Linked DNA regions of Daphnia pulex. The protein of the gene in region 1 interacts with the protein of each later gene in a pairwise test. Links are inferred from orthologs where the notes say so. Each region holds a gene or a part of one and is shown on either strand. Other genes may lie near its edges.

What was found.
Region 2: the proteins of BRCA1-associated protein-like (region 1) and high mobility group protein 20A-like interact in a two-hybrid assay, tested with the Homo sapiens proteins (2 studies listed by BioGRID and IntAct). The link is inferred for Daphnia pulex from reciprocal best matches to the Homo sapiens genes BRAP and HMG20A.

The regions. Positions count from the first base shown.
Region 1 is NC_060025.1:1,544,495-1,548,468, forward strand, and holds BRCA1-associated protein-like, read right to left. Parts: upstream 2,801-3,974; 5' UTR 2,644-2,800; coding exon 2,568-2,643; intron 2,506-2,567; coding exon 2,336-2,505; intron 2,277-2,335; coding exon 1,993-2,276; intron 1,935-1,992; coding exon 1,745-1,934; intron 1,680-1,744; coding exon 1,405-1,679; intron 1,330-1,404; coding exon 1,186-1,329; intron 1,113-1,185; coding exon 952-1,112; intron 888-951; coding exon 745-887; intron 680-744; coding exon 608-679; intron 553-607; coding exon 229-552; 3' UTR 110-228; downstream 1-109. Other genes in the region: 2-oxoglutarate and iron-dependent oxygenase domain-containing protein 2-like, read left to right, coding at 1-66; carboxypeptidase N subunit 2-like, read left to right, coding at 3,174-3,251, 3,318-3,551, 3,619-3,974. UniProt on the Homo sapiens protein: Negatively regulates MAP kinase activation by limiting the formation of Raf/MEK complexes probably by inactivation of the KSR1 scaffold protein.
Region 2 is NC_060024.1:7,607,503-7,611,729, forward strand, and holds the start of high mobility group protein 20A-like, read right to left. Parts: upstream 2,801-4,227; 5' UTR 2,608-2,800; intron 2,366-2,607; 5' UTR 2,357-2,365; coding exon 2,185-2,356; intron 2,047-2,184; coding exon 1,739-2,046; intron 1,674-1,738; coding exon 1,439-1,673; intron 1,123-1,438; coding exon of another isoform or gene 965-1,122; exon of another isoform or gene 744-964; intron 487-743; coding exon 271-486; coding exon of another isoform or gene 212-270; exon of another isoform or gene 173-211; intron 1-172. UniProt on the Homo sapiens protein: Plays a role in neuronal differentiation as chromatin-associated protein. Acts as inhibitor of HMG20B. Overcomes the repressive effects of the neuronal silencer REST and induces the activation of neuronal-specific genes.

The DNA of each region.
Region 1 (3,974 bases):
GGGAAAACACCTACTTTAGAACCTGTTGATAAAGGATGGGGAGAAGGATTTACTATCAAAAGTTAGAAATTGTTGGAAAAATGAAATGTTTCAATATGGTTCCGGCGGATTAAATCTATACTTTTTTGTATGTTGTATTACCGTGTTATTAAACATAAGCGAATACGTATTTTAAAAGACATTGTCATTTGTTGAACGAAAGGATGATTGTGGGGGTGACTTGGTGGTTCACTTGCCACGTTTCTTATTCCTGGCACCTTTGCTACCATCCAGCGAGGAGCGCGATGGTGATTGGGGCATACCCAGGACGACTTGTCCGCCCTCCAGTTCAGTATTTTTAAATTTCTCTTGCGCTTCGAAATAGAGCATCACGTCTTGGAGCTGTTCCTGCAACTCGCGGACACTAGTCTCCTTTTCATCGCGAATTTTCTGTACTTGAGTCTCCAATTGGGCGACTCGCTGATGCCATGATGATTGATTATGAGTGAGCGACCGATTCAACTCTTTTTCTTCTTGCAAATCAGCGATCGCCTTGGTTAATTTGGCTGCCATCTACAAAATATTGATTTAAACTGGGATGCCATGATTGGAAGGAAATTTGGGTTACCTTTTTCTCTTTCACTTTGAGTCGTTCATTTTCCTTGACTGTCGATTTCACCTTTTCCTTAATTTCCTCCCGCTAGGAAGTGATAGGAAGTATTTGACTAAGTAGAAAACATAATAATAACAAATTGATAATTGTACCTCTTGTCGATGTTGCTGTTCGAGACGATCAATTATTCCTTCAAAGTGAATTTTCTGTGAAGCAAGTTGACTCTGAAGAAGATACAAGTACTCTAATTGGACAGAGTCCAACTTTTCTTCATGTTCCATGTTGTTCCCTTTGCCTGAATAGCGACCAAAAGAGTTGAATCGATAAAACAGTAAACACGATTTGCATGTGTTGTTTACCAGACTGCTGCCTCCGACCACTGCTGTTGCCTTCGACTTCAACTAATTTTCCATCTTCGTTGTTCTGGAGCAAACGATGGACAAAGTTATCGCCAACATAGTCCCAAACACGAGTATTACCCAACTGCATCGCGTAGCAATGCTGCGTTTCCAAGAAATGGCTAACATAATAAGAGGGGATCAATTATCATTCATTAATTATGCCACTTAAGCTACAAATTATGATAATCTTACTGATATGCGTGGCCTTCCACGTATCTCCCGCAGCCCACATGACCGCAAATCAAACAAATCCAGAGTGACTCGTTGGATTTGCACTCAGAACAGCAACTTTCGGCAGCCATTTCAGGAGATTGCAGGTATCGGCACACAGGACATCTAAAAAGAAATCAATACCGCCAGAGATTATGATCAATATTTCGGAAACATAAGCCAATAAGCGTTTTTTTTTACGTCGTGTCTCCCCATTTGGCAAGGCATGCTCCGTGAAAGCTATGGTTACATAAAATGGTCAGAATGCCATCTACTGATTCGTCCATCCGTTCCAAACAAACCGTGCAAATGGGTAGCTCAGTCATTCCGGTCATTGGCGGACCGAAACCACCTCCACCCACAGTAGTGTCTCCGCAAATATCAACTTTTGCAACATAGACAATGTGGCAATGTTCCGATTCAATCGAATTGTAAGGCGTACCATTGAATGTCTTGTAACACTCGTCAGCCTCTTCCTGAATTCAAGAAATCGACGATGAAGAGAATTCATTTGCAATTCGATCAATATCTCATTTTTTACCTGACTACGGAAAAGTACCAAGGCCATGTACTGGTTGGGGGTTTTATCTCGAATGATTCGCACTCTTCTGATGCCAGGGCAACAGGGTGCAAGGAAATTGAGTAAGTCGTGGCAGCTCAGCCAAGCAGGGATGGCCAGCATGCATATCATTTGGCTACGAGGCACATCCATTTCCAATGAAGTCATGTGACTAAGAAAATGAAGACAAATGAGTTCAGTTGATTCCATCACACATTTGGAAAACTTACTTTTCTTTGTAGAAATGCAGAATACCCTGAACTTTCTCCACAAATGGATTGCCAGAGAAGAAACTTAATTGATCCTTGGCAGTGATGGCCTTTTTACGATCTGATAATTCTGAATGAGAACTTCCAGAGGCAGATCCGGTCTCACCATCACCAGTGGCTGTCGACAGTGCAGGAGAAGGTTCTTTGCTTGTACTCGGCAATTCTTGGTCAAACGAACTGTTGTTGGACAAGGTTCTTACTTTACTGGCCTCTGAAGATTTCCTATTTTTCCCTTTTGTCATTTCCTAAATGGACAAATTGTGGTAAAATCAACAAATATATGAACATGTTGATAAATGATTACCCAGGGTCCGATCTCTGTGTTGTCATTCTCATAAGTTTCCATTTCAATTGTTTGCAGTTCTCTTTTACCTCTGCCCTTACCAGCTCTTTCTCTTTCCCAGGTTTCTGCTTCGGGCAGCCTCTCTTCTGGCTTTTCTTTTGAACTACCTTCCATTGCCAAAAACTGAGGGGCTGATGATTAAAAATATAATAATAACAAAATACAATCGAGATGGCAAGACAGACCCACGTACCTAAATAGGTGAGCTCCTTGGGGACAATGGAATCACCTCCTAGTTCGAGACGGAAAGCGCACAGAGAAACGGACATATCATTAACATGATATTTAGATATGCATAAAATTACAATTAATTGCTTTGTAACTATGAATCAAATTCTTGTAGAGGACCAGGAAAAATCGACACAGTTTCTAGGAGATGACGAATGACTGATGGACTGATTGACAAAAGAAAACAAACGGAAAATAGTGACATCTAGCGTGAAAAATGTAGACATCTACAACAGTCAAGTCGAATAGACGGAAAAATCAAATAATAAAAAATTGAAATAAAAGATAAATAATGAAACTAATTTAAATCGCCTAGACGCCTACAATGTTTAAAAATAACTATATTTTATAAATAATCCTTATCATTTGATGCAGGCGCTGTAAGTAACATTGTTAGTCAAAACAATGTTACTCGTGTATCGTTATAAAAGAACATTTTACAAGACAATATCGCCAGAGGATATCCCTTGTCTTTTTTGTTTTAATGTTGAATCTGCTTCCTCTTCCAAGAGATAATGATGCTTCTCCGGTCTAGCGAACCCTTTGGAAAAATTCGTTAGTAGTTTTACGGATGCATTCCACCGTGGGTGAATGTAAAATTTCCCAAATCATGAAAATCCTAGTCGTTAGTCTTCTTCTCTTCCTTCAGGTAAAAATCGATTGATTATTATTATATTTTGTCTGTCGTCAAAAATGTGAATTGAAATCAAACAAGGGTATCCAATCAGCGCCGTGGTCTCCGTCTTGTCCTCACGAATGCTGGTGTCACGAATCCTACTTGGCCAGCATAGTCGACGAATGGCATCCACTCAATAAAATGCAGCCGGATTCATCCGCCAGCCCCAATAGTAGCGCCCCTAATGACCTATTATTCCGTGCCGTAATTTGTGTCCAACAACATGACACGGAAATTGAAACCCTATTGGCCCGCTTGCCGTTTCAAACCGAGGTTCGTTGGAATACCTAAATATCCTTCAATAACCGTGTCTAATGAATTTGAAATGAATTCTTAATAGGCCATGAAGATCATCCAAGCATCTGACGCACCGGAAATCCGCTTGACGGCCACTCATTTGTCGAAATTTATCAACTTGAGAGCGCTGGGTCTCGAAGGATCTGAACAACAGGAGTCTAGTAGTGCGCCATCAATCATTTTACATTCGGATAGCCTCAAATCTTTGATTCAACTTCAATATTTGAGTCTTGTCAACTTGGAATTGCTGGATCAGCCTTCGCCGGAACCGGTCACGGTGGTCGAAATAGCCGACGAACAATCAGCCCCTTCACAAAAGTTGACGTATGACATTCCCGAAGAAATCCTGCCTTACGAAGAGTTCAAAAAGTTGCACCAACAAATGGAACTAAGCGTTCC
Region 2 (4,227 bases), on another chromosome or scaffold:
TTTCGATCGGATTTACTTTTAAGGAAACCAAATTGTCAAAACCAACTCTGAATCTTGATTGAATGAACGAAGGCTACTGCAAACCCCCTTTTTTTTCTCAAGAAAAGCAAGAATGGTGTGCCAAGAAAAGGACAGATAAAAAAAGTTCAGCGAAAGTTGTCGAAATTCGTACCTTAGCGGCTACTCGATTGGAATCAGATATAGAAACAGGCTAGTATTTCCAGATTTGGTCCATTCTTAAATCTGAATAGATTCTGAAAGTTGGTTCACCTGGAAGGGGCAAATGGGCAAAACTGTTGGCCAGCACATCGCGCAGGCTGTCGAGGTGATGCTGTAGCGCGGCGCTGTGTCGTCGCTGCTGCTCTGTTTCCGCTTCCAGTCGACTGACGGCCGCTTGAAGAGTCTCGACGTGCTTCCGCAGGGCGCTATTCTGCTCCTCGTACTCGGCTGAAGCTTTCCGCAGCTGCCGCAGCTCTGTTTCTCGGACTAAGACGGGGCAGGACCATTACAGGGTTGTCAAGGGTTCAAAGGAATTTCTTTATGATTTGAATGGAATGGTAGTCCAGACAAATTTTTGGTGTCAACGGAAAAAATTCCGATTCTACTTGGCTTTGGCTCAATAGTTTTAAAATAACCAATGTGTCATAATCTTCGGCAACTTAAACAGCTAAAAATCTTACTTGAGCATGCAATTTTGTACTTTTTCATTACCCTAAGAAATCACTACCATCACAATGGCATTGTAAACCCAGCAATTTCTTTTATTCATTCCGTAAAAACTTTGGAATAAGCATAAAATCCCACACTTATTTTTATCACTGAATACACGCAATCTTAAAACATTTCCCCATGAGATATACTCAAATCCTTCAAAGTATACATTGGTGGTTAAAAAGTTATGGATCAAATCCTTTTCACAAAACAATTAAATTTCTTGCATTGAAGAAGGCCTGCACCCCAGTCGCTACACGAGAAAATGACACATCGGCAGCTTAGCTCGTTTAGCATCTACTATTGAATCATTTTGAAAAGCCACATCAAACATAACAGGGTTAGAAGGAAACGGTTTCAAGGTGATGGGTAAGAAGGAATAGCCAGACCCATGCATTGGTGCAATGCTCACTAGATTAAAAATAGGCCAAGATCCATCACACTGCCTACAACTGTAACTTTTCTTTTTTACACGCCTTGAGCGTAGTGTACGGCTAGAAGGCAGTGTGGTGGAGTCTTCTTAACTATAAGAGCCAAAAACTTGTCCTACACAATACATCTTAATTGAGATCCTTCTTTTGTTTTTTAAGAAAACCAGTTTTTTTTAATCTATTTGTTTTTGAAACAAAAGGTCCTTAACAAATCAAATTCTAACTAAATGAACAACATAAAAATAATGCATTTCCATTTCAAACTACACATAGAAATTTTATTAAAATAATCGTACCTTTGTTGTGATCGAGAAATTCTTCCGTGAAGATGGGAATGTCGAACACACCGACTTGATTTCCTGACCCATCAGGACGGTGACCAGCGGCATTGTTACTTCTATCGCCATGCTGTTGATGTTGCCCTGGCTGCATATGTTGGACAATATGCAACTGGGGGTTGTAACTCTGGATTTGTTGAATGTATGGCTGAGCCTGGACTTGGCTGTGAGATGAATGTGCCGCCGGTTGTTGCTGTACATGACGTGTGTTTTTGATAAAAATTAATGTACACAGATAGAAGGAAAAACCAATGTTACCTGTGACTGAGATTGATGAGTAGCTTGCATAGCTTGTCTTTGTTGTTGTTGCAAATGTAATTGTTGTTGAACATGTTGCTGTTGTTGCTGTTGAACATAGCTTTTGTAAGCTTCTGTCTGTTGATATTCTTGCAATTCTTTTTGATAGCGTTGACGGTCCTGTTCAGCAGCTTGCATATATTTTTGCTTTTCCTCAGCAGGTAGTTGAGTCCATTCTTGGGCCATTATTTTCATAATATCAGCAAAACCTGCACTTGGATTGGCAGCTCGTACTTGTTCTCTTCTTTCGTTTAGGAACCGTACATAACCTGCAAAATTAAAAATGTTTAAAATCAATGGAATGCCCTATAAGTAACTGAATAAAGTTGAAGTAAAATCAAAGATGCTCAGAAGCAAATATGTCTAATAGTTAAATTTAGAGTGAACAAGGACAAGAATATCTATACCATTAACAGGTTGACGAGGGGCTCCTGGACCAAGATCTTGATTCCTTTTCCTCTTTTTACTTGTTTTGCCTGCACCTCCTCCTCCTGCACTACGATTTTTAGTGGTTGGTTCTGGATTTGTGTGCTGCTGGTGCATATTGGTTGCATTAGACTGCTGGTGATGACCTTCCATTACTTATACCTGGAAATGTTTACAAATCATAAGTTTAGACCATTAAATTTTGAAACTTAAATATACAACAAGACAAAACGCAAATTAGCAAGCTATCAGGGGGAGGTAAAAGACTTAATAAATTCAACCTAATCGATATGCGTCACTTTTGAACGCCATTAAACCGATGTTGTTGGTGGTCCTATTTACTGGTCAGTTGCACCTCCAAACCAAGATATTTAAGACTTAATATAACGTATAAAACCTGTTACCTCGAAGAGTAATGCATGTAGATCAGAAAAAGGCCGAGATTTCAGATAAATTGTCTAAATTCGGAGGGTAAAAATTCCGACCACGAAAGGCAACACGAGGCGAGGTCGAACAAGAAAAAGCCAAGCAAGCAAGCAGCGTATCACAGCGTATGCCTGGACTTCAGAACCCTCTTCTTACCGGGATGCGCCAAATGAAACGTTGATACATACATGCCTTCTAGCTAGGCTTCACTTTCCCGCCATTTCTGAACATTCTTTATTAAACAAAATTGTCATTCGTTGAAATCTGCGATTTCTTTTTAATTACAAGTTTTCAATGAAATATGTGTTCGAATTATATTGTTAAGTAAAAAGTATAACCAGAAGAAGCTTAAATTTGATTTTCTCCGCGTCAAAAATCACATGTACCTAGATGGAGTGTTTTCGATGTCGAAAACTCGAAATTACATTTGCTAATCGTGAATTTTTTTTTAAAACGGAATATCATCGAATTAGAAATGTGCAGATAAAATTGCAGCTAGGAACAGTAATCATATTCTACAAATGTAATTGAAATCAATCTGCTCCCTAATTTATTTAATTAACAGATAGTCCACGCACATTTTGCTGGCAATTTTAAATAAGCAGCATTTTCGTAATTTTCGTTTGTATTCATTTACAGATTTGGTTACATAACCAACGTAAATATTGTCTTTTATACCATTGCTATTCAGAACTACGAGTAAAAAGAAAGCGAAGATTACCCAATGAAGAAATACATTTTGAAACACGACCTGTGTCATCATTTTATTTCGTAAGCTAAGCAAATAGCATGTAGACACAGCAATAACGCTGGTTATTATACTCATGGTGCAATACCTTATTACCTTGCGATTCTCACGAGCGGAACCGTCTAATATAGATATTAGAATACAATCGTCAAGTTTGCCGGAATTCATAGACTACAGGCGAACGGCAAACCTTAGAGCTTAGACTTCAGAGGATCCGGCTTTATTTTTAAAAATAGAAATAAATTGTAGCTAGTCCTGATCTTCCCCCAACCAGGTATCTTTCCCCCAGGTCAAATTTGTTTCAAGACCCTTTGGGCCTTTGTTCTCCTTCACTAAACAAAAGACACCAGCCGTTCAATGCATTTTAGGTAGACTGACCGCTGCTTGAAATTTCCAATCACGTTCTTTCTCCAAGCTAAGAAAAAAAAAAAAAACTTTACAATGGGCGTTGGACGAAGATGTCTTCATACTCGAGTTGTTGGAATAAATTATGACATATTTTGAAGGGAATAATACATATAACAGTTCGTAACACTAGTTTAAGCCTCATGTACTATTTGCAGAAAACATCTTGATTCAATGGAGGGTTTCATTTTAATTTTAATTTCGAAGGAATTTAAAGGCCATAAAGGAAAAACAATTCTAGCGGAAACCCATGGGTGTTCTACTCAAAATCTTTGAATTTGTTTGTTTGAAAAAAAAAATGAAAATAAACAAAACAACGCACTGATGGAGCCAGTTTTATTTTCAGCACTATCCCATACGGGCCGCATTTTGCCTATAACCTAGAAGAATAATACGTTTACATTTTCATTAGTTTTAGTTTAGTTTTAACTTATAAAGGACTGTA